4 linked regions of the Struthio camelus genome follow. The protein of the gene in region 1 interacts with the protein of each later gene in a biochemical or structural test. Links are inferred from orthologs where the notes say so. Each region holds a gene or a part of one and is shown in the gene's direction. Other genes may lie near its edges.

Evidence for each region.
Region 2: the proteins of SUMO1 (region 1) and PIAS1 form a complex in vitro, tested with the Homo sapiens proteins (6 studies listed by BioGRID and IntAct, with this or other methods). The link is inferred for Struthio camelus from reciprocal best matches to the Homo sapiens genes SUMO1 and PIAS1.
Region 3: the proteins of SUMO1 (region 1) and PIAS3 form a complex in vitro, tested with the Homo sapiens proteins (2 studies listed by BioGRID and IntAct, with this or other methods). The link is inferred for Struthio camelus from reciprocal best matches to the Homo sapiens genes SUMO1 and PIAS3.
Region 4: the proteins of SUMO1 (region 1) and USP25 form a complex in vitro, tested with the Homo sapiens proteins (2 studies listed by BioGRID). The link is inferred for Struthio camelus from reciprocal best matches to the Homo sapiens genes SUMO1 and USP25.

The regions. Positions count from the first base shown.
Region 1 is NC_090947.1:9,968,827-9,976,251, forward strand, and holds the start of SUMO1 (small ubiquitin-related modifier 1), read left to right. Parts: upstream 1-4,392; 5' UTR 4,393-4,566; coding exon 4,567-4,578; intron 4,579-7,425. Other genes in the region: NOP58 (nucleolar protein 58), read right to left, coding at 1,724-1,798. UniProt on the Homo sapiens protein: Ubiquitin-like protein that can be covalently attached to proteins as a monomer or a lysine-linked polymer.
Region 2 is NC_090953.1:2,280,442-2,287,850, reverse strand, and holds the start of PIAS1 (E3 SUMO-protein ligase PIAS1), read left to right. Parts: upstream 1-4,407; 5' UTR 4,408-4,422; coding exon 4,423-4,485; intron 4,486-4,591; coding exon 4,592-5,036; intron 5,037-7,409. UniProt on the Homo sapiens protein: Functions as an E3-type small ubiquitin-like modifier (SUMO) ligase, stabilizing the interaction between UBE2I and the substrate, and as a SUMO-tethering factor. Catalyzes sumoylation of various proteins, such as CEBPB, MRE11, MTA1, PTK2 and PML.
Region 3 is NC_090971.1:3,179,967-3,187,458, reverse strand, and holds the start of PIAS3 (E3 SUMO-protein ligase PIAS3), read left to right. Parts: upstream 1-4,490; 5' UTR 4,491-4,552; coding exon 4,553-4,576; intron 4,577-6,122; exon of another isoform or gene 6,123-6,240; intron 6,241-6,469; exon of another isoform or gene 6,470-6,512; coding exon of another isoform or gene 6,513-6,527; intron 6,528-7,492. Other genes in the region: ANKRD35 (ankyrin repeat domain-containing protein 35), read left to right, coding at 1-75, 549-1,798, 1,835-2,413, 3,069-3,158, 3,269-3,334, 3,468-3,530. UniProt on the Homo sapiens protein: Functions as an E3-type small ubiquitin-like modifier (SUMO) ligase, stabilizing the interaction between UBE2I and the substrate, and as a SUMO-tethering factor.
Region 4 is NC_090942.1:113,035,090-113,042,774, forward strand, and holds the start of USP25 (ubiquitin carboxyl-terminal hydrolase 25), read left to right. Parts: upstream 1-4,683; 5' UTR 4,684-4,771; coding exon 4,772-4,816; intron 4,817-7,685. UniProt on the Homo sapiens protein: Deubiquitinating enzyme that hydrolyzes ubiquitin moieties conjugated to substrates and thus, functions in various biological processes including inflammation and immune response.

The DNA.
Region 1 (7,425 bases):
CAGAAAACAATAGCTTGTCTCAAAACACAAGATTTACTAAAATATTATTTATGCTCACTTCCAACAAACAGCTTCCACCCCAGACGTCCTTCGCGCTCCTCTCTTGCCCATGAGGTAGGCGTTTAGAAGACCACATTTAAACACTGCTTCTTGGTGCCTAGTGCCCTCTAGCCGCTTCGCATACACATCACAGCCAGACCCCAAATCCCAGCTGTTGACACCTGCAACTGAGTGTTGCAGCACTCCTGCAAAGAAACTTCTTCATTTCTCTTTATGCTCCTCCTCCTACTTTTGCTTTATATCTATCCTGGTTTCAGGGATTCAAACGTGCTATTTTCAGCCCTTCCTGGTTTCTGTAGAAGATTAAAAGAGGGCTTGGCTCCCAGCACAAGAGGTTCAACCCTACCTGGAAATACTGCCTTCTCTCTCTCCCTCTTTTTTTTTTTTAAAAGAAACTCAGAAGGTGCAGTATATTAGCTAGTGTGAACAGCCACTGATCTAAACCTCCAGGGAGACAGTGATATACTTTAGTTCCCCAGTTGCAAGCAGGAATGAAAATGGAAGTAATATGCTTTTAGATACATTTTTACATGAGGATTAGTCTTAAAAACCCTCTTTGCCTGAACTGCGCAGCTACACCTCAAAGAGGAGGAAAGGTTTCAGGGTAGACCAAGGAACCATAGGGCTCTGTAGAGCCCCAACGATGCAGTTCTATAAGTTAGGGTAAAATAAACTAGTGCCTTGCTCTCCTTGTATCTGCACTGGTGTTTGCACAAGCCAAACCCAAAAAAGACTAAGCTAGGTTGAAATAAAGCAAGTGCTGTCATCAAACTCCATGAACAATCTCATCATGAGACTGTACAAGCATCAACATCCAAAGCAAGAGAAAAGACAGATGATGGGGCACACAGCACCAAAGCAGCTCTAGCAACTCATTTAAACCATCATGGAGCTGCAACCTCTGAACCAACACATCAGGAGCTTGCCAGAGACTTGTGGTCTGTTCCTCCTAGCCCCATGTTCTCAACACAGCAAGAAAGGCAGAGCATGTGCTACACCTGTGGGCAGCTGATGCCAGCTCATCTGGCCCATGTGCTGAGTCTGCCAAAGAGCTGACAGAAACACACGCAGGTCAAGGCACCCTGCAGATTTGCTTAGCATGCTGCATGGCTCCCATGCACCTCTCCTTACAACCAGGAGGTGCTGTTAGCCTGTGAGCAAAATGAGTTCAGTAGAAATAAGGGAAAGCACTTAAGATGCTTTTCCCCAGGACAGGATGTCTCCAGAGATTTCAAGGAGGGCACAAAGACAGGTACCTTCTCTCCCACCAAATCTGTTCTCACTGGTGGAAGAAAAAGAAACAGCCATGTGCAATCCCTGATGGGACCATGGAGAAAGCTCTCCCTCTCAAGTGCCTTTAGGCTTTGCATTTCCAGGACACTACTACAACTGCAGCCATCTTTCCCCGCGCTGTGCCTCTCCTTCTTACCCGAGATCCTCTTTACAGCACTCACTCTTCAGCTTCATGTCTCACCTCCCTCCTTCTCCTACTGTGTATGTCACAAGGAAACCAAACAAGGCTGACGTGTAAAGTGACTTTTTGAAAAACCATTTGACTTGAGCACACTCCTTCCCCGTTGACGTTTCCGCCACAAGTTAATTACAATACCTAAAGCTATCTTACTTCTGTTGCAACTCTCACAACTCCTTTCCGTTAACTTACCCTCCGCCGGAAACACACCACACAGCGCTCCGCAGACAGGACGGCAACCCACTCCTCCCCGAACACGGTCCACATAACTCGTTTTTTTCCCCTTGGCGGTGATCAGCCCAGCGCCACAAACCCCGAGCGGCGTTTTAAGACGAAAGTGTTGCGAAAAGAGCAGCCTTCCGGGCCCTGAGCCGGGCGGGCACTTCCCGCCACGCCACACCGCGGACCGCTACCGAAGCGCCGCAGCTCGGGGGCTCGGCCGCCCCCGCGAGCGGGTCAGGCCCCCCGGGCAAGGCCTCGGGCCGAGCGAGGCGCGGACCCCCGGCGGCCCGCAGCCCCCCCCCCCCGCGCCTCACCTTGAAGATGGCGTAGCCAGCGGCGGTCTCGAACAGCACCAACATGGCGGCGGCGGCGCCAACGGCCGGAGCGGGGGCCAACGGCCGCTCACGGGGGGGTGGGGAGGGCGCGCGCGGCCACGTGGGCGAGCGGACGGCAGCCCTCAGCCCAGCACACGCGCGCGCCGGAACGGGAAGTAGCCACAGCGGAAGTTATGTCACGGGAGGGGAAGGGGCGGGGCCGCGGGCCGCCCCCCGCGCCGGCGCTGCTGGGTCCTGCGGGCCGTCGGCCGGAACGGAGCCGCACACCGTCGGTGTCCGCTCCCTGCGCTGACCGAGGCGGGGGAAAAAAGGCGCACGGAAACAGCAGAAATATGTCCCCTGGGTGGGAGACAGGTCTGGGCGCGTTCCCGGCCAGGCTGCCGCTCCGCCGTAAACAGAGCCTCGTTCCCCAGCCTCGTCTGCGCGCACGTCGGCATAGGGCTGCGGTCTGCCTTCGTGAACGCGCGCTTTCCTCTGCGAGCAGAGTTAAACCAGCCCAGTCCCCGGTGTGGACGCGGCGGCTGCGTGCGGCGCTTGCCCGCCCTCCGCCTAGGCCGAGGAGAAGGGGGGAGGCGCTCAGAGCTCGGTGCCGCTGCGGGCGTCCGACAGCTGCTCCCTTCTGACAACGGAACGCCAAACTCGCTGCATTTACAACAGGCGTTTCGAGGCTCCCGATTTCCCCGCGCGGTGCTGCCTGCCCAGGATCCGGTGTTTCCGGGGAAGCCGCAGCTCAGCCCGGCCCTGCCGCCTGCCGCCTCGTCGCACTGCGCCCTCCAGCGCGTCCAGGGGTTACTGTCCCAAAGAACAAATTATAGATTAAACATGATTTACCTTCTTCCTTTTAATAAGGCATATTAATACTTACTGCTAGCACTAGCTGCTCTCGAACAAATACACTAGTGTTACGAGATTATGGATTGTTCTCAGGTTAAAGCCCTGTTTTGTAGGAAAACTATCTGCAGGCTGAAGAGGCTTTGTGCAGGCTAGGTAGGCTAACGCTGTCCAGAAAAACACTAACAGCTCCTCTGCTTTCCACACAACATTGGTCAAGTTAATTAGCAGCAAGCTGAATGAACGGAGGTGAAATTTATTAACTTCAGGTGATTGAGATTAGTTGCAGATGGGGAAATTAGAGAAGTTATAAAATACCTGAGGATTAAACAAAGTTATTAGTGGATGTAAAGTAGTCTCAACATCAGCTGTAGCAGCAAGGGCTACTTTGAGTTCTGTAGGAAGAAGCTCATGTATGTATATTTAGTCTTTTAAAAGCATGTTTTTGTTGGGCTTTAAGGGTGCTGCATGTTGGGTTTGGGCTGTAACAGAAGAAACGTGTGACTTTTGTAACCCTTATAGGTTGAATTGAGACTAGCTGCTAGGGAGGTGCTGTGCAAATATAGCTTGTACCCTGAGCACATACATATCTGTAACCGAAGTGAATAAAAAGTGTATAAAGAGGGGTATTGTTATTAAGTTTTAATAGTGGTATTTAAATTTCAACTGTGTGTGCTATGCATGGGGAAGAGGGATAACTGGTGATTTGCATGTTACTCTTATTATAGAATGCATAGGAAAAGGGGTACAACTAGGAATTGCATTCAGATTTTATGCTAGAACTTTAAAACTGTCACCTTCTATCCGTGGGGCTAACCTCCCTGCTTTTAAACCTGTCCTTTTGTTTACTGCTAGCAGTGGCGTTTGCAATAGGATCAAGTGTTTGTCATCTCCACTGTTCACCTCTTGGGTTGCTCCAAGGCTGCGAATGGTTCTCGGTGGTGGTTCCTGCAGTGCTCTTGACCTGGTGACGAGGAGGAGGTCATCTTCCCCTTCGTCACCTGGCTCCGCGGAGTGCGTCGCCCCGTTTTATTTAACGCCTTCTCCCCCGTTAATTCTGTGCGGCTCGGTTGGCCGCTGCAGGCCTGCCTGGTGCGATGGCCGCGTGCGTTCCCCGACGGGTCGGCTTCGTTAGCCCCGGTGGCGCTGGTGGGCCCTTCGCGCCTGGAAACGCTTCTGCCTCTCCTTGACTGGAGTTAAAACCTTCTCTGGGGGGAATCAGGACGAGAATCCCCTGCTGGGGGGGGAACACAAGTAGGGTGGGTTAGAAATTCACTGAGTTTTTCAGAAATCCACGGAAACTCGCAGAATTTCGGGGCGCTTCCCGACCCCCCCCCGGCGCTGGCCCTCCTCGCCGGCGGCGCAGAGCGAGGCGCGCGGCCCGTCCGGCCCCGGCTTCCAGAAGGTTCTGGCGGGCGGCGGCGGCGGGCGGCGGCCGGGGCTGGGCGCGCCGAGGGCCCGGCCCGGGGCTGGGCGGGGAGGAGCCGCGGCGGCGGCGGCAGCGGGCCGGGCCGGGCGGGAAGTGATCTCAGGCGCACAGGAAATCCCGCCCGCGCCGCGGCCTGTGTTTGTGCTGCGGCGGAGAGAAAGGGAGCGGAGCGCCTGCCGCGGCCCAGCCGAGCCTGCCGCACGCGAGGGGGCGAAGCCATGTCTGACCAGGTACCGGCGGGGCTGGGGGGGGGGGGAGGCGGGCGGCCCGGCCTGCGCCTCGGCCGGGCTCTGCTCGCCAGCCCCGAGGGCGCGGAGCGGCCCGGCCCGGGGCGGCTCGGCGCGGCGCCGAGGCCCTTTCCTTTCGTTTTCGCTGTCCCGGCCGTGAGGCAGGTCGCTCTGCCGGGGCGGGATGGCTCGCCGGGCGTTGCGGCGCGCAGCCCTCCGCGCTCGGCGGCGTGAGCTGTCGGCCGGCCGGGAGTTAACGCGGCACGGCAGGGTGGTTTTGTTCCCCGCCGTGCCCTTATTTCACGCGTTGCCCCCCTCCCCCCCCCCCAAGTGACAGCTTTGTCACGGCGGTTTGACTTCGGGGGAAATCAACGGCAGCGCCGGCGAATGTTTCCTGCCGTGCCGGGAAGCCAAGGGTAGTATTAATGCAAGTCATGAACTGAAAAATTATTCCGAAACCACGGTAAATCTTAGGATATGCTGTTGCCCCCGTTGAGGAGTAGCCTTGGCACCTTGTGACCCGCGAACAGAAGTCACTGCTGTGTGAGCTGGGTCCGTGCCCCCCCCCCCCCCCCCCCGACTTTGGAGCACAATGAAACTCTTGGTGGTGTTACTGCCTGGCTCTGCCTGCGAGAGCGCGGCGAGCGCTAGCTCTCATCAGGACGCGTTTCCAGTGCGGTAACAGGCAGGCGAGTGTCTGCAGAAAAGGAAGAAAAAAAAAAAATCAAATTATGAACGAGATTCTGTGGACTGCTCTTTATGTGGCCTGTTCTGTCGCTCATGTTTGTGAACTGATGAGGCACGTTTTAACACATAACAGCATTCATTAAGTAATTCCTTCTCCAGTCCAGTCCTGCTAAGGTGTATGCATGTTCATTCTTCTTTGGGACTGCTTGAAGTATGTAAAATTCATTGTATGTGAAAGCCTTTATTGGATATGTGTCTTAGAGGCACATATCCCAGAAGGTGCATTGGATAAGGGCCCTATTTTTCTTTTTTTTTTTTCCTTTGGAAATGCCTGTGCTAAACATTATCATATGTTTTGGCATTGACTGCTGGGGTAGAGGGACTGTGTAACAAGACCTAAACAGATGTACAAGTAACAGTATAACATAAAGTGAATATCGCCTAACCATAGATCTCATTTCTCTCTTTATCAATGCTACTGGAATAATCAGGTTGCCTGAAGTTGTAGGTTGTTTACAATAGCCTCCTTCTTGGTCCTGGAATCAAGATGTTAAGAGGATGATCTCTGTCAGTAGTTATAATTCTAGCTCTTTTTTCTTGTTATGTAGATAAAGATGCATAGTTGGTTTAGTTTCTTTATTCTCAATTACAAACTAACTTACTCGATTTAAAAAAAAAAAACTGTAGCAACAAGGGTAAACTTCTTAGAACCACGTGGCTGCTTGGTGGGATCGCAGCAGAAGGGGAAAAAGAGAAGTAACCCCCCCCCCCCCGAAGTCTCAGGCTGTTCTTATTCTCATTCCATCTAGATGAAAGCATTTTTATCTCTTTGTGTACTGTGGATAGGAAATGCTGTGGCACAATTGTACATACTTTCCTATTCCTGTCACAAATGTAAGAGTTTGTTTGCTGAGCTGGGGATGCACAGTGTAATCTTCCTCCTCTTGCAATTTTGATGCCAAAAGATGGTCTCAAGTATGCTGAGCAGGGCCTTTTTTAGGCTTGGATAGTGAAGTTGGAATGCTTCAGAATAATAGTAGATACAGTTTGTTGTTGGAGGGAATTTGCAATAAGTTGCCTTACAATGTTTATTTTGTGGTTCCATTAGTGGCAATAGCAAATACCTGGCACGCTGGGTTGCATTTCATCCAGGGAACTTTGAGTGCTTTGCAGTCATGAATGCGGTGTTAATATAATTGAGACAGTATTAGGGACCTTATTTTGTGCTATTTAGGAAAACTGTGGAATGAAGCCTTTAGAAATTTAGGAGTCTAGTGAAAAGTTAAACTTGGGGTGTTGTGGTGTTTGGGTTTTTTTGATGTAACCATTTCTTTAGCAGTTCAACTAAAAATCTGGATGTTTGCTTGTGGATCATGGATTTTGTTAATGGATGCTCGTAATTTAGTAACTTTGCAATCTACTTGCTTCCTTTGTTCTTAAGTATTTTTCTGCTGGCTTTTCTATTTGGCATTGAATGGCAGTATAGTTAGCACTGACAAAATGCAGGGAGCTGTTTTAGACTTGCTGAGTCTTGTTGTATTCTGTTTTCAAATCTTCTGCTTTTTTTAACTACCATTACTGGCTTTTTCAATGCTGATTTGATCCTATTTCTTTTTTTCCTGAAATTCCAGCTCTACTCTTTGCGTTTTTTTTTTTCATGGACGAGGGGTTGTTGGGGCTTTAAACATGCACCTTTATGGTAGGCTGATGTTTTAAGCCTCTACTTTCTACTGTTTGCTCCTTTCCCTATTGGTGTCTAGTACGTGAGTTCTCTGTCCCCAAGGGTAGGAATCAAACATTATGAATCATTGCTTTCCACTCATATTGGCTAGAGGTGCTGTTATAGTAGCAATGATGATTTGTCATACCTTGTACAGAGTGATTTGTTACGGAAAGCTATAAGAGGTAGATCTGCTATAATGCACAGAACTGGATAAACTGCTATGAAGCCCTTTACTGCTGGGACAATACGCTGGTATGCAGTTTAATTCTTATGCAAAGCAGAATAAGATACTGACTTGAAATTTCATGTGAAGAGATGGGATGTTCTGATAAATTCCTTGGGCAACAGCAAAACAGGAGGCAGTTATAAAAGTTAGAGTTTGGATTTGTAGAGATCTGAATCTCTTCTGCATCCCTAGAGGTTAGTAATCCTACATACAG
Region 2 (7,409 bases), on another chromosome or scaffold:
CTAGCATGTAAGGTTCTTAGTAAGGTGGTTACTCTGAATGCCTGAGTAGCATTTACAGAGCAAAATAATTCTGTTGTGTGGCATGGATACAATTCTCCAGCCTGACAGGCTTGTTTATTGAGAGACCTTGGTGTGCCAAGACCTATGGCATGTGCACTGACGTCACATGACGCTTTTTGGTTTGTGGTCCCGTTGTGGAAGTCTTAGACAAAGCTCTAGTTCCTTCTTATCTCAAATGTAGCTAGATACTATTTTTTGTTTTGGGGGCTTACACAATTTTTATATCTTATATTTAGATAAACATCAATTTTACTTAAGAAAAAGCAATTTTGTTGAAAGAGACAGCTGTAGGTAGAACATCTTTTCATACTGATAGTTACAGGAGAGAAGTAGGTGCGTGATGTGTTAGCCAAGGGAGCTCCCTTGGATGCTGCTCCTGGAATGCTTTTACATCTTTAAGCTTTTTTCCCCTTATTGATTATTTGAAGTAGGCGGACAAAGGAAGTGTCCGTGTTTCCAGCTGGGTTGTTTTGGAGGTGTGTTCCCTCAATGAAAAAATGCGGGGATGCACCTGCTCACGTGGCTGCAGCACGAGCTGAACCAAAGGGTTGGGCTGATGCGATCTGGTGGGGCGGGAAGTGACACAGGTTTGGGAAGTGTGGAACGTTAACGTGGCCTCTTGGAACACCTCGGTGCCGCTCCTGGCTGCCGCGCACAATCCAGTCACCTGTCATCAGGCAGCACCATCCTCTGTGGGCTTTGGGGAAGGTGAGCTGTGGTCACGAGACCTGGGTGAGGGCTGTGGGTTGGAGGGGAAGCGTACATAATGAGACAGGCAATCCTCAGGACTAATGTAACTTTGGTCGATAAACGTGTTTGGGTTGCGTCGTCCAGCAGGAAATGTCAGTTCTATGTTTATAGATTAAAGTTACCGTCTAAGCTCCATGAAGGTCTTTACAGTGAGTCAAAAGAGAAATCCTCTGGGGAACTGTGAAAAGTCAAGTTTCTATAAAGCTTATTTCTACTCTTTGAACAATCTTTCTAGTGTCTTTGCCCTCTCTTTGAAAGGGAGAGAGAGAGAGAGAGAGATTTATATTTAAGATGTTACCTACATGGCACGACATACCGAAATGCACATCATCCTCAAAACAAACTAGTTTGTTTGATACTGGCGTTTGTTGCATCTGAAAGAGCCTTGCAATCACAGCTTGTTTGTCACACCAAAATTATTTGTAATGAGTGGTTTAATCTTTTTTTGGCTAGGTAACTTCAGTATCTTATACACTACTGTGATGTTTGGAGGGGCCTACGTTTCCTGGTACTTGAAAGCGTAACTAAACACCTAGTTACCTGTAAGTGCAGCTTGCAAACTATCCTTTAGTCTGCCCTTGATCTGTATATAATTTGAACTAACCTTATGTTTGCTCTTTTTTTAATGCAAAAGGAAATAAAAAATTATTTTGCCTGTTTTGATAAACAGCCAGAGGTCGGGGCGGTTCCCTCCTGGAGACCATTAGGGCTATTTTGCTGTTGTTTGGGGACTAACTTTTGATGGTGGCTTCTGTAGCTTGCTGAAGGTGCAGTCGTGCTGATGTCCCTGATCTTACTGCTCCGGCCAACAGGGAAAAAAGCAGGAAGTTTTCCTCATGCAAAGTGCTTTTTTGCATCTTTGCCTTTCAGCTTTGCTAGTATAGCTAAGTCAGAGAGCGTTTGAATTGTGATGAGGCGAGGTGTGACAGAAAAGAATTTAATAGTTGCTGCTTCCCCCCCTCCCCCATTTACTTTGTGTTTGACAGCGCTTAATTTCTTTCCCTGCTATAATTAAACGGCCTGTCCTAAGATTAGGACAGCAGCGCAGTGTGGGCCAAGGGCTCTTGCGTGGACAGCGCCTGCGCTGGCAGTTGCACCGCTGCTGGTATAGCTGCGTCGTGTCCTCAAATAAAACACAGATATGTTGGAGGAGGGGAGACGTTCGGATTGCAGCGACATGAGAGACTTTTGCCAGCATGGCTGTCTGTCAGGATCTTACTTCCTCGCAGCACTGACTGACATGCGGTACTGGCAAAACTCTGTAGAGGGGTGTGTGTGTGTGTGTGTGTGGCGGGGAGGGTTAAGGCATTGCCTTCTTTTTATGTGGGTAAGAAAGGTTTGTCAGTAAAATATGAGACTGTAATAAAACAGCAAAACTTTATTGCTCTTTTTTCAGGACTGCATTTTTAATTGATGTATCAGTGCCCATAATGTGGCAAATACAATTTTTCTCGTTCTTCCTTTTAAGGAATTTTTTCAGAGTAGGGGAGAAATCTGAGGAATTTTATTTATTTTGGTTCACAAGTCTGGCTACACAATGGACCCAGTTTTTTGTATACTTATTTCTAGCTTGCATGTAACTTCAAAATGGAAACTATCCAACCTGTAGCAGAAGTTTCCCAGTTAGCTCATTTATTTCTTGCTCGTTTGCATTTTCTGCAAGCTGGGCCTGTAGGGTTGTAACAAAGCGAGAGCGCAGGGAAGCTCCAGGAGACTTGGGCTGCTGAGGAAATGACTGTTAACAGGGAAGGTAGCAGGCATAAGCCTTTCAGCGGTAACTACGTGTTCTGTTGAATGTTTGTAAAGCATTAGAAACAGTGCTTTTCCGTGTTTCAGATCTATTTGTTTCACTTTCCTTTTCAGCTGTCAACACTTCAGATTGTAACTGAAATGCCTTACTTTTTTAAGACATTTCTTTCCTTCTGAAATACCTCATCTGTTCTAGTTAGTAGATCCATGACAGTCCTGGAGCTGAAAGTGTGAAGCAGGTTCTCAGGATACTTGGAGAAAAGGTGCCAGCAAAACTGTGTTAAATCTAAAGTGTTTGTGGTATTCTGCAACAATATGTATCTAAAATTTGCCACAAGGTTCTTCGGTTCTATTCATGTGGTTCAGTCAACAGAGCAGAAATTTTGTGGCAAATTTAGTTAAAATGATCTGGTTGCATACTTCATTAAATACATGAATCATATAGTTTGAGGGTTTTTTTAATAACTCGATCTGTTTCAGTGTCTGGAAATGCTTGTTGCGAATACCCCCTTGTCGATCTCCTGCAGGTGCTGAAGGTTTGAGGAATTGATAGGAGTTTATGGTGGTTTTTGCTAAAGCATGGTAGTATACTTTCCAATATTATCACTTTAGGTTTTAGAGTTAATGGTAAAATAACTTGGGTAATGTATGTGTCTGAATATTTCAAACAGTTTGGAGAACTGGAGAGGATAAGAGTATCTGTACTCTTTAATCTTAAAGATCATTTTTGCAAATGCAAGTGCTGGTTTGGATATTCAGCAAATAGAAAAGAGTAATCTTTAGACTGCTTTCAGTGGTTGGGAAGTTGCAGAACCTCGATATGCCTAATTGGTTATGTTGGTCCTATATATACGCTTCAAATATGATGTTGAATTTGTTTTGGAATTGACTATAAAATATTCAGAGTTTTTTAAATGGTTTTGTGCAGAAGTCCTAGATAACCAGTTGTGGTAGTGGGTAGGGGGCGTTTTATTTTTCTTTGACTGCTTGGGAATCCAAAACTGTACAGAAAGATCACTTCAGCTGATGTCACAGGCCTTGCAATGTTAAAAAAAAAGTCCCTGTCAAGCACTGAAAGAAGCTTTAAAAGAGACACTAGGCTCCTAAGTTGAATTTTTGGCCGCTATTTGACCAGTGGGGAAGTACTTTAGCGCACGCGGATGATTGCTGGTTTCACTGCTTTGCCTAGTTTTGTTTCCTCAGTTCCTCAAGAAGTGAAACAGCCTAGATGTCTTACAGTGTGATTCATTAGGCCATATTGGGAGACAGACCGTGTAGAAACACGTGGTAACTAATGGAAGGCAAAGCCCAACTCCCCCATCCGCAACAGGACAAGCAGCTGTGAAGTGAGAGAAGAGGGATGAGTAAGGAAATTGCTTAATTTATATTGGAGATTGGATCTGAAGAAGTTTCCTTTAACCCAGTAATGATCATATGGACTTGCAAAAAATCAGATTACAATTTTTCTAAGTGTCTTTAACATCAGTCACTTCTCTGCCTTCCTTTGAACCTGTGCTGACTGATTAGTTACACTGCCTGGCAAAAAGTGAGAGAGGGACTTGAAAGTGAAGTAGGGTGTCAGAGTGAAGGGTTGCTGCAGTTTTTAAGTGCAAGTACTGGAGACTTGGGTATTGTCAATGTGTAACTTTTTATTCCTCTAGCTGGAAGTCATAAAGCTTGTTAAATGTTGTAGGTGTTAGGGGAGCAGTGATTAGAACATTGGTACATTAAAAGCCTTATGTCTTGTACTGGCAACTTGTCCTTGTCTCAAATTTTTACCTCAGAATTGCTGTCCTGAATTACCTATTGCAAAAGAAATTCCTTTAAAAAATTGCTGATTAGACTTTCAAAGTCAATATATCTATGTGTGAACAAGTCCTGTTTTATGTTGTATTTCAGATCATCAGTGGGAGAAGAGCAGTAATGGTATGCCTTTAAAAATTGTATGCTCACCAGGATTAAGCCACATTCTGATGTTAGTGTGTAAGATGATGTAACTTGAATACTAATTTTTTGTTTTGTTTCTTTTAAGCAAATGGTTATGAGCCTTAGAGTTTCTGAACTGCAAGTACTTCTGGGTTACGCGGGGAGGAACAAGCACGGACGAAAACACGAACTTCTCACAAAAGCACTGCATTTATTAAAGGCTGGCTGCAGTCCCGCTGTACAAATGAAAATCAAAGAACTCTATAGGCGAAGGTTCCCTCAGAAAATCATGACGCCTGCAGACTTATCTATCCCCAGTGTACACTCAAGTTCCATGCCAGCAACTTTGTCTCCGTCTACCATTCCACAGCTCAGCTATGATGGCCACCCCGCAACATCACCATTGCTTCCCGTTTCACTTCTGGGACCTAAACATGAACTGGAACTCCCCCATCTTACATCTGCGCTCCACCCTGTCCATCCCGACATCAAACTTCAGAAATTACCTTTTTATGACTTGTTGGATGAGCTGATAAAACCTACAAGTCTAGGTAAGGCTGCAAACGTTGTAATAACAATATTTGAAAACTTTTTAGGAGTAATGGATGAATTCAGCTGCTAGTGTACTATCTGGTTAAATATTGCATCACGCCACTGTTTAGAGAATTGCTATTTTTGGTAACTTTTGGAACAGATTGTTCTACAACACATGGAGAGACATCTTACGTAACGCTCATTAGTTGCTCTAGCTGAGCTACTAAGTATGGTTCAAAGTTCCATTATGTTTAAGGGGTGAGTTTGACAAGAAACAAACTAAACCTTGGAAAAAAGAGAACTTAAAGAAAATATGAACTACTGAAAGCAGGCAGTTAAACTAAAGAATGTAATTAAAAAAAAACCCCAAACCCTAAGTCCATCAAACCCAAGAAATCTAGTTGTCTGTGCTGTGAAAGAATGTCAGACTAGGTATTTGCTGTGATCCCTTATGGTTCTAACATCTGAGTTTAGGAACACTTGTGGTTCTTCTACTGTTTTGACTGTTTTGGTTTTTTTTTCCTTTTAAACTCTTGTATTAACCTATAAAACACTTGTGTAGCTGCTGAGAATATTCTGACGCTTACTGAGCGTTATATAACAATGTGTGATTTTTCTGGCTCTGACTCCGCATAACACTTAAGAGTGTGGTTAACTTTTAATACTCTTAAATACAATAGTGTGGTAGATTTCTGGAGGGACTGCTTGCATGTTGGAACGTTCTGCTGTTTTGAAACCCTGGAAAAGAATCACTTTGAGAATAGCTAGTAGGGGGAGGAGGGTATTTGTAAGGGCAGATATGGAGGGATGGTGGGTGAGTGAGTGAGGAGACTGTGCTTTGTGAAAGAGAACACTCCTAAACAGCAACGAGCAGGTAATTTCTATTAATAGACTAGTCTGCTACAGGGATGAAGGAGAGGCGTGTGAGTAGCGGTCTGTAAACTTCTGAAGTGTGATCACCTGCACAGTTGTTTGCATATTTTTTGTTTTAACCTGTTAAAGTTGAGACGTTGAGAGAGAGAGCAGTTGATAATCTCTGGAATAAAATGAAGTGTCGCTTATGGTTCAGATACTCTTTTAAGAGGTATACTATATATATTTAGCTTTAGTCTAAAATCTAATTAATTAATAAGCATTCCAGGCGGTGCTGGCGGTGCAGGATAACTGGGTAGTCAGAATGTGTCTAATCACTTTTATATTATAAATACTCCAAAAAATAATGGTATAATTTCAATAAGACATTCCAATGAAGGAGTTACAGTATGCATTTATTCCTAGAAATGGTAAGAACACTTTACTGTCAGCTTCATGCCTGACAAACCAGTCGTAAATTAAGAGATCATAATTCACACTCTGTCATGCCTTATTGCTTAAGGAGTTTATATACAATATGGTATTTTTCCCCTTTGTGGGCTCTCAGAATGTCAGGGTAGGAAAATGGAAGAAGCTGAAATTCCAGCCAAGTACCTTTCAAGCACTGTCTGTCCTTTAAATTAATAACTTATGGGTATGTTTTGTGTTTTGGTTTGCATCTGCATCCTGTGCTGCCTTTTTGCCTTGCTTATCTGAGGCAGTACTACTGAAAAGTTATTTTTCCTAAGCTTGTTGGGGAAGAGAGAGCTTCAGTGTCTATGTGAGAAACAGTTGTGTTGGTTGCTTTTGGTAGTGGTTAAGTAATGTTGTTGCAGATTATAAAATTGCTAACTACAAATGTCATGAGGATATTTTTAAGTAATTAATGTATATGCTAATCAAAAAACCCCATTGGATTAAAACCCAGTGATATACAGTTTTATACACTTTCAAAACAACTTAAAGCAATTTTGCATACAGGTCAGCAGTTTTAAACGTAAATAATGTGGACTTGTATCTCTAATTACAGAATGCAAAAAAAGCTTTGTTTAAATTTCTCCATATATACAGTTACTGATGTTTTAACTAAAAACAACATTGAAGGTTTTGCTGAACATTTGCCTCAAATGGTTGGGATATCCTCCTCACTGCTGCAAACAATGTGGGCTTGGCATTTAAATGTCAAACTTCTGAGTCCTCTGCCTTTGTTTTCAAATGGTTGATGCATAGTACAAACCTTCTGAACTTCTCCTTGGCATCTGGCCAGCACTTCAGGGTCTCCTGCTTGCTTTTTCTCCCCGGATTCCTCACAGGGGGATGCAAAACTGGTTTCACTCTCCTTCCCTCCACTACAAGAACAAATTGATGACCTGAGCTGGGATTTTGAATGATTATCTCCCTGCTTAAAGTGGAACCTGCTAATAGTCCCTGGAATGGATAAAATGCACATGGGTGCGTGTGAGAGAGAGAGAACAAGAGCAAGTGCCATTGATTTCAGGATCATTGGATTCTTCTGATATGATGGTCATTACAGAGAA
Region 3 (7,492 bases), on another chromosome or scaffold:
CGCCAAGCCGTGTGCTCCGGCGACTGCTGCGTGCCACTGGCAGCAGGGTGCCAAGCCGAGGAGAGGGCACGGCAGGTGACACATCCTGCTGCACCCCGCCACATCCTGCTGCCACTGGCTTTGCACCCTAACCCATCCCGCTAAGGCCCCTTTTCCACTCCCTGGTCATTGCTCAGCCAGGATATTGGTTGCTTATTTTATTAGAAAAGGCAAAAAGGGAGCTTTTCCACGGATGCCTGCTGGCTTAGCTCATTGCACGGCCACCGCCAGCTGCTTTTGGCTTTGCTTTGCGGGACTTGGCTGGCACTGCTTTGCGGGGAGCCCAGTTCGCACGGCCACTGCTCTGTGGAGCGGGCACTGCAGCAGAGCCAAGACCATGCCGACAGCCTGGGTGGCCCTGCAGGTGGCTCGCCCCATCCCCGCTGCACTGCACTCTGAGTTCCCGATGGGAAAAGTATTGCCAGGGGCACCACAGCTCTGCCCTTGGCTGCCCATGGCTTGGAAATGTGGTGCATTGAGCCTTCGCGGGTCGTTTCTTCTCCCGCCAGCAGGGAAAGGAGCTGGTTGTCCTGGGGATGCCGAGATGCAGGTAAAGCCAGCAGCCACTTCCCTGCGCGATGCACCCGTGGCCTCCGACTCCTGTTCAACGCACGCCGTGGCTTGCTCCCACGTGTCCCAGGCGGCCCCAGCTTGCAACAGCACAGACGACAGCGAGGAGGAGGAGGAGGAGGAGGAAGGCTGTGACGCGGAGGAGTGGCGGTGCCGCTGCGAAGCCGAGCGGGCCAAGGTCCTGCAGCTGGAGCAGCAGCTGGTGACAAAGGTGCGGGAGTGCGAGTGGCTCTCGGCCGCCCGTCGGACAACAGCGCGCAGCCTCTGGCAGCGGGTGCGAGAGCTGGAGCAGCTGCTGCTGGGGACAAAGAGTGAAGCCGGGACAGAGCCGGAGGATGACTATTGCCTGACCCTCCTGGCCGAGCACCTGCGGGAGCTGAGGAGGAGGAAGGAGGAGGCGGCAGGAGGCTTGGCGGCACCGGAGGAAGAGGAGGAGCGGCAGCAAGGTGAGCCAGAGCGGGAGGATGCGTGCAGGAGGCTACGGGAGCTCGAGGACCACTCAGAAAACCCACCAGCCACGATCGCCGCCGCCGAGCAGGCCCAGCTTGACGGGGACGAGCAGCGGCTGTGGGCACCTCTGGCACTGTTCCTCTCCTGGCTGGAGGAAACCTGCACCAAACTGCGGGCGGAGAAGCTCACCGTCTTCACCAGGAGCAAGGGACTGAGGAAGGAGGTGGAGGAAGCTTTGAGGAGCAAACTGCATTATGAGGTGGTGTCGGCCGACGCCGTCCGGAAAAGCCTGGCGGCCTGGGAGAAGCTGGCACTGGGGCTGGAGCAGGCGCTGAGCCACGCCGACGAGAGTCATGCCGAGCTGCTGCGGAGATCCCGGCCCCTCCTGGAGACCCTCCGGGCCCTGCAGAGTCAGCGGGAGCTGGAGGAGCCGCTCGACGGGGCAGCGCCTTCCCGCTCGCCAGAGAACGGCAGGGCCAAGCCAGAGGAAGTGAATCCAAGCCAGGCAGAAAAAAGCCAGAGCCAAGCACGCACGCTGGAGAGAGAGGCCGAAGAGCGGCCGCGGGCCAGGAGCTCCAAGTTGGAGAAGGAGGTGCTGGAGCTCAAGGAGAGCAACGGAAGGCTCCTGGGCGAGCTGGCCCAGCTGGGCCGGGAGCGTGAGCGGCTGCAGGAAGAGCTGCGTGGGCTGCGAGAGCGGGACGCCAGTGCGGCGGCGGCCACCGAGGGGCCTGGGCAGCGGGCAGCCGCCCTGGCCCGGGCGCTGGAGGCCGAGCAGGAGGAGACGACACGGCTGAGACGGCGGCTGGCGGCACAGCGGCGGGAGCTGGCGGTGCTGCGAGACAGCCTGGGCGCCCAGGCCCAGGAAGAGGCCGGCAACCAGCTCCCTGGCGCCTGCATCCTCCAGGAGCTGCACTGCAAGCTGGACGGGCTGGTGAGGACGCAGCACGAGGCCTTGCAACTCGTGTCGCAGATGGAAGGCGAAGGCGAGGCACTCGGGGATGCCCCGCGGCCGCCGGGTGAAAGAGACCCCCGCGGTCGCTGGGACGAGGACGGCGGAGACGGGCCAGCCGCAGGGGCCGCGCTGCGCTCCCGCGAGGAGATGACCCCAGACATCCCAGAGGGCAGCCGGGCGCTGCGGCGGGAGCTGGAGGCAGCCAGCGCTGAGGCCGCGCGCTGGGCCGAGGCTGCGGCTGCCGAGAGGAGGGCGAAGGAGGAGCTGGAGGTGCGGGCAGCCGAGCGGGAGCAGGAGGCACGGGAGCTGCAGGTGACATCGCGGGGGCTAGAGAGGAGCGTGGAGAAGCTCAGCGCCAAAGTGGGTGAGCTCGCCAGGGCCTGCCAGGACAAGGAGGGGAAGGTAAGAGTCAGGGCCCACACACAAGGCTAACAGGAGGAGGCAGCCCCTTCCCATCACCATCCCCTTGCCATCGGTATGTCCTTGCCATCGTTATGTCCTTCCCATCGCCGTTCCCATCACCATCACTTGCCCATCACCGTCCCCTTCTCATTCTCTCCTTCCCATTGCCATCCCTTTCCCATTGCCATCCCTTTCCCATCATAATCTCTTTCCCTGCCCATCAATATCCCCTTCCCATCATCATCCCCTTCCCATAGTCATCACCTTCCCGTTCCCATCATTATCCCCTTCCCAACACCATCTCCTTCCCATCACCGTCCCCTTCCCATTGCCATCACCTGCCCGCCAACATCCCCTTCCCATCACCATCCCCTCCTCCTTCCCAACACCATCCTTTTCCCACCATCATCCCCTTCCCATCGCTATCTCCTCCTGATAAAGCCAACCTGATCCATGGAAATGCCTAACACCCAGCAGGAGCGAGAATTTCCCGTTGTGCAAAAAGATCTCAAAGCGCCCATTTCTCAGCCAACTTTGGGGGGGGGGGGGCAGGCAGGAGGGTTGAGACAACTCCCGGGGGTAGCAGCGGGGCAGGAGCCAGCCCCCCGTTTTTCCCCGTCGGCTCCCAACTCTGCTCCCTGCTGCCTGACGCCAGATCAAGCAGCTGCTGGCGGAGATGGAGAAGCTCTCAGCGGAGGTGCTGGCAGTCCGCAGCGAGAGCGTCCGGCTGCAGCTCCGGCTGGAGGTGGGTCCCCGGCACCCGGCATCGCCCGCCAGCATTGCCTGGCATCGCCCACCGGCATCGCCCACCGGCATTGCCCCGGCTCTGCTTCCAACCTCCTTTTTTCCCACCAGCTCCAGCAGAAAAACCACCAGGACATCGTCACCATCTACAGAACCCACTTGCTCAACGCCGCCCAGGTAGGAGTCGGAGGCATCTCTGCCCTGGAGGGTGTTTTGGGCTGAAATGCTGCAAAATGCAATTTTTAGCCAGCGCTGGAGGCTGGGACGGAGTCTGGGTGCAGCGGGTCCCGGCTGAGCTTTGCTCCGGCAGGGGTTCATGGACGAGGTGGTGCACGGCATGCTGCTGCGGATCCTGCGGACGGGGGACGCCTGACGCCGCCGGGACGGATCCCGCACGTGCCCCGAAGCCATTAAACGGGAAAAGCTGCTCTGCGTGTGCTGCCTTCCTCCGGAACGGGATGGGGATGGGGACGGGGATGGGGACGGGGATGGGGGGGCCGGGGGGACCAGGGCGGCTGCACCCACCACCTAGCGCCGGGGGCATAGGGCACCCTGGGGGTGGCGGGGCTGGGTGGCCCCCTGGCCCCAGGACTAGTTAGTGGTACTGGTCAGGCCCTGGGCAGGACTAACCAGTGGGACTGGTGAGGCCCCAGCCCCAGGACAGAACTAGTTAGTGGTGCTAGTCAGTCCCCAGGCCAGGACTAGTTAGCAGTGCCGGTCACCCCCGGGCAGGACTAGTTAGCGGTGCCAGTCATCCCAGGCCAGGACTAGTTAGCAGTGCCAGTCACCCCTGGGGAGGTCTAGTTAGCGGTGCCGGTCAATCCCCAGGCCAGGACTAGTTAGCGGTGCCGGTCAGTCCCCAGGCCAGGACTAGTTAGCGGTGCCAGTCACCCCTGGGGAGGTCTAGTTAGTGGTGCCGGTCAATCCCCAGGCCAGGACTAGTTAGCGGTGCCAGTCACCCCTGGGCAGGACTAGTTAGCGGTGCCAGTCACCCCAAGCCAGGACTAGTTAGCGGTGCCAGTCACCCCTGGGGAGGTCTAGTTAGCGGTGCCGGTCAGTCCCCAGGCCAGAACTAGTTAGCGGTGCCGGTCACCCCCGGGCAGGACTAGTTAGCGGTGCCGGTCGCCCCGGGCAGGACTAGTTAGCGGTGCCAGTCACCCCTGGGGAGGTCTAGTTAGCGGTGCCAGTCAGTCCCCAGGCCAGGACTAGTTAGCGGTGCCGGTCGCCCCCGGACATGACTAGTTAGCGGTGCCGGTCGCCCCGGGCAGGACCACTCGGCGGCGGGGCGGAGTTGCGCGACGCTCCCTGCCCGCCCCCCCTCCCCCGCGCGCCGTGCGGCTGCGGCCGGGCGCGGAGTTTGCCTCGGCCCCTGGCGCGCGGCTGCCATGTCCCAAGATGGCGGAGGCGGCAGAGCTGAAGGTGCCGCGGGGGGGCCGCGGGGCCGGGCTGCGGCGGTGTGGGGTGGGGTGGGGGTGCCGGGCGGGGAGGCTTGGGGGTGAGGCATTCTGGGGGTGCGAGAGGGACAGCGGTGGCCGTGTGGGGCCAGGGGGCTGGAAGGCTGGAGCCGGGGGGCAGGAGCCGAGAGGCTGTGGGGCAGGAGCAGGAGCCAGGACCCGGGGGGCTGTGGGGCAGGAGCAGGGGCCAGGACCCGGGGGCTGTGGGGCAGGACCCAGGGGACTTTGGGGCAGGGGCAGGGGCCAGGCCCTGGGGGGGCTATGGGGCAGGACTCGGGGGGCTGTGAGGCAGGAGCAGGGACTAGGACCCGGGGGGCTGTGGGGCAGGAACTAGGGGCCTGTGGGGCAGGAGCAGGGGCCAGGACCCAGGGGACTGTGGGGCAGGGGCCGGGACCCGGGGGGGCTATGGGGCAGGACCCAGGGGACTGCGGGGCAGTGGCAGGAGCAGGGGCCAGGACCCAGGGGCTGTGGGGCAGGAGTAGGGGCCAGGAACCGGGGGATTGTGAGACAGGGGCAGGGGCCAGGACCCGGGGTGGCTATGGGGCAGAACCCAGGGGACTGTGGGGCAGAAGCAGGGGCCAGGACCCGGGAGGCTGGGGCAGGAACTAGGAGGGCTGTGGGGCAGGAGCAGGGGCCAGGAACCGGGGGCTATGGGGCGGGGGCTGAGTAGTAGGAGCGGGGAGGGGCTGTGGGGCAGGGACCAGGCGTAGGAACCAGGGGGGCTGTGGGGTAGGCAGCGGGGCAGGACCCAGGGGTGCTGTGGGGCAGGACCCGGGGGGCTGTGGGCCAGGAGCAGGGGCCAGGAACAGGGGGCTGTGGGGCAGGAGCAGGGGGGCAGCGGAGCAGGGCTGAGTGGAAGAAGCAGGGGGGCTGTGGGGCAGGAACCAGGTGTAGGAACCAGGGGGGGCTGTGGGGTAGGGCTGCGGGGCAGGAACCAGAGGGGCTGTGGGGCAGGTCCAGGGAGCTGTGGACCAGGGCTAGGGGGCAGGACCATGGGGCAGGGCAGGGGGGACTATGGGGTAGGAGCAGGGGGCAGCGGGGCTGGCAGAATGAGGGGCCGGATGCTGAGGCTCGCCCCAGGCTCAGGGCTCAGGCAATGCGTGGGGCTGGGGGAAGGGTTGGGGGGGTGGAGTAGGGTGATATGCTGGACTGTGGGGCAGCAGGGCTGCAGGTCCTGCGGGGTGGGGATGAAGAGCTGGGGGCTGGGGGGGGGGGCAGAGGGCTCAGCCGTGGGGGTCTACAGTGGAGCGGGGGCGTCCGAAGGGGTGCAGAGGGAGAGCGGGCAACGCCGGGGGAAGAGGCGGATGGACAGACGGGGACGGACGAGGAAACCGTGGGGCTGAGCGGCAAGGGGGCTGGGGCCAGGGCGGCGGGGGGCTGCGGAGGCAGGCGCAGAGACCGCCCGGGCGAGAGGGTCACGTAGGAAAGGGGGTCGGGTTTTGGACGTCGGCACGCTGAGCGGCGGATGAGGCTGCTGAATCAGGCAGCGACCTCCCGTGCTGTTTGCAAAGAGGAGGGGGCTGGAAGATTTTGGGGGGCTCAGGCGTGCGACGGAGGTTCAGAGAAAAGAAGTAGAAACCTGAAGGAAGGGAGAGCCAAGAAACGGAGCAGTTCAGACCCTCGAATGAGGTAGGGGAGTGCGGAGAGCGCAGAAAATAACCGGTAGGCTGGAGAGGGGATGAAGCTTGAGGCAGATCTTGGGGCAAGACGATGGTATAGCGGGCCGGGGAGCTGCGAGATGCTCCTGGGGTTTCGTAGGGGAGGAGGGAGCGGAGAGCGTGTAACATGGTAGTGCTGCACCAGTGCTCACAGCTGGATGGGGTTTCATCTCCCTCCACTCTCTTTTTCTCGTTTTTAGGAGTCAGAGTGTGTAACCACCTTTGCCCACCAGACTGTGGAATATGAAATTGCCCCTGGTAACTAATTCCAAAGCTGATTTGTGTCCTTGTTGGCGTTTAATATTTTTTCCCACAGGCTGGAATATAGATCTTAGCTGGCTGAAGTGGCCTAAGAGTCCTGCCCCCTTCCCTCTGCTGGGAATAGTAAGACATTTGGGAACTGGCACCTTCTTGGCAGCCAGCCACAGCAAGAACATAATTCTCTGGAGCTAGTATGTGTCTGTAATCTTTCCAGCAGCGGCCCGTCCAAATTTTGATACTGCTTTATGGTGTGATTGTTCTCCTTCCCCTAAAACTCTGTGTGACCTAAGCATGACTACAATGGGAGCCCTATCAAGTGTCAAAATGTTAACAGTATTTGTGGAGAAATTGGATCCGATAATTGTAATTGGGTGAATTGGAACAGCGCAGAACTTGAGCTCCAGAAATGCTTTTTATTTGTGCCGTTTCCCAGCATTCCAGGCAAGGTGTTAATGGCAAAAAGACCCACGTCCCCAGGCTCAGGTGAATGAACGCAGGGGCGCAGGCCCTGGTCCCGCTTTGACCCGCTGTTGCGTTCAGCAGGATGCATGTAAACGGTGCTGCTGCCCTCAGTGTGGCTACTCATCATATGCACTATAAAATAGCACATGCGTAATCCTGCAGTTTCAGGCCATAGCTAGCAAATGGCAAAGCTGAGTGCAACATACAGAGGGCAAAGTGGGTGTAATGTCCTTGGCATTTTCCACTCTGTTCCCTCTGCAGATAAATCACTGCAGAGGAATTGTGTTTTAAGGAGAGATGAAGCTTAGCGCATAGGTTTACATTCTCTGAGGTTTGGCCCACCTCTGAGATCCTCTAGTGGTCTTCCAGACTTCAGCCCTTTCTCTGGAGCCTGGCATTATTCAAGGCTCTCTTCAGTTTATTTTTAAATCTGTGCTCCCTTCCGGCAACTGAATTCTCTTGTCCATCTCCCCTAAGCCCTTTTTAGTTTACTAGCCAGG
Region 4 (7,685 bases), on another chromosome or scaffold:
CGTTCAGATAATGATTGCCCTCTTTCCTGCATTACAACTTTGGTTAAGTTTTTGTTTTGGCTTCCCCAGGGAATAAGCAACACAAGATTTTGCAAGCACAGAGCAATGCGCCAACATGTAACAGTGACACAGAGAATAACTTTTAAATGATGATTTAAAACGTCTTTCGCTTTAGAAGCTTCCTGAGTGGTGGTGGTCTTGTTTCAAATGGCTAAACTGTTTTCTGCAAAGCAAAAGGGCCTAGGTAAAAATGTTCCAAAATGGGTTTTAGAAATGGGAGTCTAGAGAAACTCTTTTCCAGGGTTAATTACAGAAGCTCTGTGTTGATAGCATTTACAGCATTATATTTGTACTGATGGTTTTAAAGCAGTGCTTTGTTATGGCCGATATAACAGGTTACACTTTTGGGAAAAGAAAACCAAGAAGTCCTGACTTGTACTTCCCCAGCTGTAACCCATAGAGCCATAGTATAATTAAGGTCCCAAATAAACGATGCATTTAATTAAAGACAAAAACAAGCCTATTGAAAATTGAAGGAAATAATGAGCTATTTCTCGTACATGATCTTTGTATACAATAAAACACGTGCTAAAGTGCTTTGTGGTTGGCCGATGTTTTGTTTTCCTTTCATAAAAATGGGAAGACAAGGCGGACTGTGAGCAGGAACACATTTTCTATCCAACAGGCGGTCCTCAGGAAGGCAGGATCACTTACTGATTTAAGAGAGAGGGGAAACGAAGCTTGATGTGTGCTGTTGCGCAGCCTGTGTCACTTTCTCTTTTGGGTCAGCACAGCTGTTCGTACATCTCTTCACTGAACCATTTTGGGGAACTGATCTAGCAGAAAGATAACTGGTTTGGGGGGAGGGGAAGTTGTAGTTATGTTTCAGGTGGATCAGTTCTCCAGTGCTGCTCACCATGTGAACGCGCAAGCGCTGGTAGCATTGCAGACAGGACCAAGCACCTGGAGGTGAAGACTCCCTAGAGAAATTAAGCAGCACAGCTGCCAAATGTTTAACGGTGAAACCCTGTAAGGTTGTTAAAAAACGAAGAGCCTCTAACTGGAAATAGGATGACTTTCCAGGGAAATATATATATAGTTATGGCTTATACTATTTAAGTAACTTGTAACGAATAACATAAGCAACAGGAACCAAAAAATAAGAGAAATATTATTTCAGCTCTTGCGGCTCATAAGCAAATGGGATCGTGCAGCATTCATTTTTCTGTGAACCAAAAAATTCCATTTATGATCACTTCTCTTTCTGTGCACTGGTATCATCAATAAGACTAGCAAGAAAATGCTTGCAGCTCTGGAAGCAGGACAGCTGAATGATCACTGCAGACTAGCAATAGGAGTTCAGAAATTGAAGACTGTGGGCTCTGTTAAGGTGGCATGTCTCAGAACCAATACTTTAAAGGCACAGTTCTGTAGGACATTAGAAGAAATTACAAAACTAAGACAGAAAGTCTCCTACATGGTTCCTTTTGTGCTCTAACGCTGCAGGTATGACAGCTTTTGGACCTTGCCCTGCCATGCCTAATTCTCTGCTAGATGCACACAGAAGTCACCTGGGTTCCAGGCCATGGGAGTTGAGGGTAGAAAAGGAACAGTGGATCGGATCCCTAGAAACTAAGTAATCTTCTTTTTCATTTTTTTCTGTAATGGTAATTCTTTATTATATTATAGACACGAAGGAATACTACTATCATCAAGTCAAGAGCTCTTTGGAAATTGTGGCCCTGACAAAATCCTTATTGTTTTCTGATGAAGTATGAATTCTAGTTTCGTTCTAAATGTACTTAATATAGAACTTGTGTTGCAAATGGAACATGAAACTCAATTCCGTCTGTTCTTCAGCAATACCATATGTACTACAGGATCATAACTTGCAGTGCCGTGTTTCAGATTATGTCAGTACTTCAGTGATAGATGCCTGCCTCAGGAGTGGATTGCTCAGCCTCATTTTGGAAAAAAACAAAAACAAAAAAAAAGGAAGTGGGAAAAGGAGGAGCCTTTAAAAGTGATTGTTTTGATGGGGGGTGCGAGAGGGAAGAAAAGACATTCTCATCCTGATTTCAGCTAGGATTGGGCAAAAAGTAAAACTGATTTTGAATACGTTCTTTTTGGACCCATTCTGACTGTCAGGGAAATTTTTCCACGGAGTTACATGAAACACGGCCAAGACTTGAACACGCGGTTGCAAGACATAACAGTAAATTTTTGAAAAAATGCTAAATTGAAACAAGTATTTTCAAAGTATTCAAGTATTTTCACGTTCATATCTGAACGTTACTCGAGTAGTGCAGCATACATCAAAAATACAGTGTAGAAGAAGCTGTTAAAATTGTATCAGAAAAATTAATGCAGGTTACATGCCAATATACTTAAGGTCATGGACTGATGCAAGACTATATATTGGAAGTGAAGGGCGGAGAAGCTCGTCTGGCACTCTGGCACAGCAACACAACAGAAAACTTGTCTTAAATAAACAAACTACTATCGTTACCAATCTCACATGTAGCCACCAGTCTGAGTGCAGATAAAATTTGCACTCAGAAAAGTAATTTGCAAGCCACTTCAGATCTCGTTATATTATTTGCATAGTGTCTTGTCTTTTGCACAATAAATTATTTGGGAACATTAATTTTAAAAATTGCTTAGTCCACTTCATGTATAAAAGGCAAAAGCATTAAAATTGATACAATCTATGAGCTACGAACCTCAGAGGAGCAAATATTGATCAAAATGCCACATCTCCTGCACAGAAGGTACAGTGCAGTAAGGCAGCATTTGCGCGTTGTCAGGAGTTGTGCGATATCTGATATTTTTCTTAGTCCAAGATCTTGCAGTGATGTTATTACCTGACAATCTTAGCTTTAGAAAGACTAGTTCTCTCTCTGTCTTGAGGGAGAAAAAAAAGAATTAGTGAATCTTAAAGGCTCAGGCTCTGTGTGACAAATGAGTAGGAGCGACAATTCAGTTTGTTGAGATAGGCTCCCAAATCAGGATTTTGAGGTACGCAGGGTTATCGTTACTGCGCTGCTCTGGTCAGCGTTTCTTACAGATTGCTGTAAGCTTCATCAATTTAAGAAACCAAACCGGGACACAAATACCATATGTAGTGCAGGTATTCCAAATGTGAGATGGGTTCTTCTGTCATCCTGGCGCCTGGCTCCATTTAAATGTGTTTTAGACACACAATAACCAAAATAACCATGTGCTGCAGAATTTAGTGAAACTTTTTTTTTGTTTGGAGGGGGCTGGTTGTCGTTGGTTTTTCCTAGCCCAGCTCATGACCTGGGAAGAAGAACTGCAAGCCTGAGCCATGTGCAGCAGCAGCAGCGGCAGCGGCAGGGGCAGGGGCACCCCGCGAGTCTGCAGGCAGAATCTGGCAGCGGGTGGAACAGCTGTTGTCAGAGCCAACCCCATCTATCAGCCACCAGAAACACCCCGTCCCGGCGGCCTGCAACACGAGGAAGGCAGCTTGGCTTCACGCCGACCTGAACACCCTCTGGGCTTTCTACGACAGACTTCCCTTGATCCTCCAAACTCTGCTCTTTCCTTCCCTTGTCCTGACTCCACGGACTGGAATAAAAAAACGATAGTAGCTTTCCCAGTAACACTTATTTGCAGTGCCAGAATTCACTGTGGATTGCTGAGAACTGAAATCCTCCCTATACATGATTCGTTAGCAGTGAAGCAGTTAATGACATTCCCACTTACTGTGAGCGCTGAGCATGATCGCTCACAGCTCGCTGAGCTAAACGTATAAGCGGGGAGGGAAAGGGGAAGAAACGCAACTTCAGCTTCGAGCACTGTTTCAGCTTTGTTGTGGATACAAGCAACTAGTGCTGGAACGGGTCAGAAACTTCTGGTAAAACACAGCCTCCCTACAACATGCCCGCTTCTTGAAGGAGAAACGTGGAGGACTTGACACTTGGCAGACACTGGCCCACCCGGTCCGGCCAGCCGGGACGCCCTGGGCCTCGGGCACCCCACGGCCCCTTTCCCCGGAGGGAGAGGTCAGCAAGTGGGGAGGGATGGTGCCCCGGGGGCCCAGCTTCTCTGCCGGAGTGAATGATCCGCCATGTCACCGCTGCTGTGAGGAGAAGGGGGATCCCCCCGCCCCGAGCAGCTGCTGAGGGCCAGGGAGCTGCCGCCGCCCCCCCCCCCCCCCCACCTCAGGAAAACTTCACTTTCTCTCCAAACGCAGCCCGCGCTCCGGCTGACCCTGCCGGGCGTTAGCGCCACAGCGTCACCACAACAGGCAGCGACGCCTGCGGGCGGCCCTAGACACCCAAACGCCCCGCAGGAGAAGCCTCTGAACCCCCGGTTTCTGTTAGCAGCGCGGGGCCAGGCCCGCGGCGCCAAGATGGAGGCGGCCGCGCAGGGGGAGGAAGGGGGCGGCCGGGCTGCCGCGCTCTGCCCGGGGGAAGCCGGGCGGCGGCGGCGGCCACCTCCGCCAGCCGGTTAGGCGGGGAGCAGCGGGGGAACGGAGCCAGGCCGGCGGGGCAGGGGCAGGTGCGCGGGGCGGCGACGGGTTGGGCGTGAGAGCGGGGCCTGAGCGCCTCGGCGCTGCCCCATGGCGGCCGCCCGCCTCGGCGGCCCGCCCGCCTGGCGGTGACTCGGGCTCCTCCTCCTCCTCCGCCTCCTCCTCCGCCTCCTGTTCCGCTCGCCCAGCCCGGGCCCGGCCCAGCCGCTGCCGCACGGCGCCGCCGCCGCCGCCCGCCCGCCGAGCCCGGGTCGCAGCCGGGAGCCGCGCGGGGCCATGACGGTGGAGCAGAACGTGCTGCAGCCCGGCGGCGCCGCCAAGGTGAGAGCCGAGCCCGGCCCGGCTCGGCCCGGCCCGCTGCGCCGCGGGGCGCCGCCCGCCTGCGCCGGGGCCCGGCCGGCGCCATCCGCACCGCGTCCCTGCCGCTGACCTTACGGCGCTGTGAGGGCAGAGCGGGCCCGGCCCGCGCCGGGCTGCAGCTGCGTGGCCTGCCCGCGGCCAGGCCCCTGCGGCGGGGACGGGCCCGGCCGTGCCGCGGCCTCTGCCCTCCCCGCGCCGCGGTACCGGCGGCCGGGGGAGGAGGGGGTGGGGGGAAGGGTCGCAGCGCGGCTCGGCCCGGCTCCTGCCGCCGTAACTTTGGGCCGCCCCGCCCGCCGGTGTGCGGGGCCTCGGCCCAGCTGCCCCCCGCGGCCGGGGCCTCCTCGGGGGCGGCAGCGTGAGTGACCCCGCGGGGCTCGGGGGCTCCTCGGCGAAGCAGCGAAACCGGAGGGGGAAGAGGAGGAAGGGCGGCGGGGAGGTTGGGGGGGGGGGGGGCGGCCGCCAGCTCGTACCCGAGCCCCGGGTGTAACCGGGCACGGGGCGAGAGAGATGCTGCGTGTGCTGGACGTAGCTGTGCCGCGCTGATACCAGCCGGTGCTAAAAGGTGACAGCTATTTTGGGCGTATGACACGCAGCGAGCTGCGCCGCGGTCTTGGGGAAGTGAGGGGGGGTGGGTGGGCAAAGGGGGAGGTGGGTTTAGGGACTCGTCTTAATATGCGCTGTGAAACGGGGTTAAGGGAGCGGTGGCGTTTGGGAATCTGGTAGCGGGGGCCAGGAGTTGCTGGGAAATGCCTCTTTGTCAAAAATGGATGCCTTCTGTAGCGGTTTTGGGGGTTCAAGTGAATTGATAGGAGAAAAAGAAAAATTACGTTTTTTTATTAGTGTTATTTTCAAGGTAACTGTTGCTTGTTAATGCACCCCTTGGAGGTGTGAAGGCCTCCTTCCCCGATTTTCCTGTATGGCACATGAGGCTTTTGTGAGAGGATAAAGGTTTATTTACTTTGGTGTAGTGAGTCTGGAAGTGTAATGGCTCATAAAAGTGGACAGTGGCAACGCAGTGGTTAAAGTATAATTGGTTGAAGTGGTACAACTTAACGTTAAAGAAGCCCTTTTGGAGGGCGAGGCATACATCTCCCAGGGCTGCTTCCGCAGTCAGCGCGTGTTTTGGCAGCTTCAGTAGGAAGGTAAAGGCTGAATGGACTACATTTGTCTCTTTATTCCTTAGTCAATGCTGATTTAAACTGAGGTGTGCTAACAGGCTAGTGTAGCAGCCTTTTGCTGCCCGGTTCAGTGTTACACGTCTTCTGTGTTTAAGAACTTCATCTGCTGCTACTGTGTAGCTGACGTCTTTCCTGAGCAGTATGTTCTTTTACAAAACCTGTTATTGATGGTTTACTTAAATATCCCTTAACTATTGTATTGGATGTTCTGCTCTATAATACCTGACAAACACTTGACAGAAAATGCAAACAGACAGCTCTGACAATAATGCTGAAAAAGAAATGTTGCTGTTTTCAGTAAAACTACTGCTTGCAGCTTAGTAGTTCAGGATTACTTTAATTTCAAATCAAGAATAAGCTTGAAGGGTGGTTAGGGATTGATTCTTGTACGTCAGCTAGTAATCCATGCTGGAATAGAAAGTTTAAATTGGCCAGAATTTTAAAATGAAATATCTCCCTGGATGATGATTAGTTGCGTGAATATCTACAGAAACTGTGTAAAAATAACAAGCTTTTTTCATGGCAGGGATTTCTATTGAATCATCTGATTATTGCTTTATCTGAAACTCATTGTAAACTGCTTTCTACTTAAGTGCATGCTAGGAGGGGAAAAACAATCCTGAGAATATTTTGGAAAGATATTATTTGACTGTGAAGTGAGTCTCTCATTGCTCAGTGAGAGTAATAAATAGCTAATTAGATGAGAACCTTTTAACACATTTCTTAAATGAAAATAATCTAAATAGGAAAATGATGAGATTACAATGGACTGAGGCTTGACTGAAAGAAGGAAAAATTACTGTGCCACTACTTCTTTTCCTTCCCTCAAAAGGAGAGAGTCCCACACTCTGTAAATAAGGAGAGTTTGTTCTGGAGACCTCAGTTTGTCATGATTGTTTTGTGTTAGTGTGAAGAAACCACATGCAAACAGAAATATATTGGATTTCCAAGAGACGTGTGAGTCATCGGCATACCTTATTCACAACTATGGTTTCCAACATTGTTCCTCAGATGTTTTCGTACTGTCATACAGGAAGTATGTGTCAAGCTTCAACAGTGCTTGGAGATTCAGGCTTTTATTAATACCTGCTCTCACTACAAACAGCCCATTTCCCACTGAAGCTATCTTTAGTTTATTGCATCGTTAAAGAATCGGGATCAGTTCAAAAGTCAGCCTTTCTTTCATGTTACTGGTCGTTTTGACTCCAAGTTAAAACTTATAATTTGTCTCATAAAGCGAATAACTAATCATGTTAATCTTTTTGTTCTCAGCACTTTTTGTGTGATTCTGTAATGCTGCTAGGTGTCTATGGGTTATCTGTAATGTTCGTATTAAGATTGAAGTGTTTGAATAGAGGTGAATTGGCTTTCAGTTTTTATAGGTAGCTTCTGGTGCATCCTGTCTGTATTTCTGCCTGGTAGAGTATTTTTGTCAGGCTTCTTTTCTTTGGAAAAGCCAAATAATTTGTATTGCTTGATTCCCTCTATTCCACACAGTACTGAATTGCTGCTGTGGGTTTGTTAAAGTTGGTAAATGTGCCTGTACGTTTTTTCTGACAGAGGAACACAGTCAAAGACTGTCACTCTTACTGTGGAGAGCCTTGTACTGTTCTCTAGGTCAATATCTCTTAGACCATGGGTGCAACCAAGGG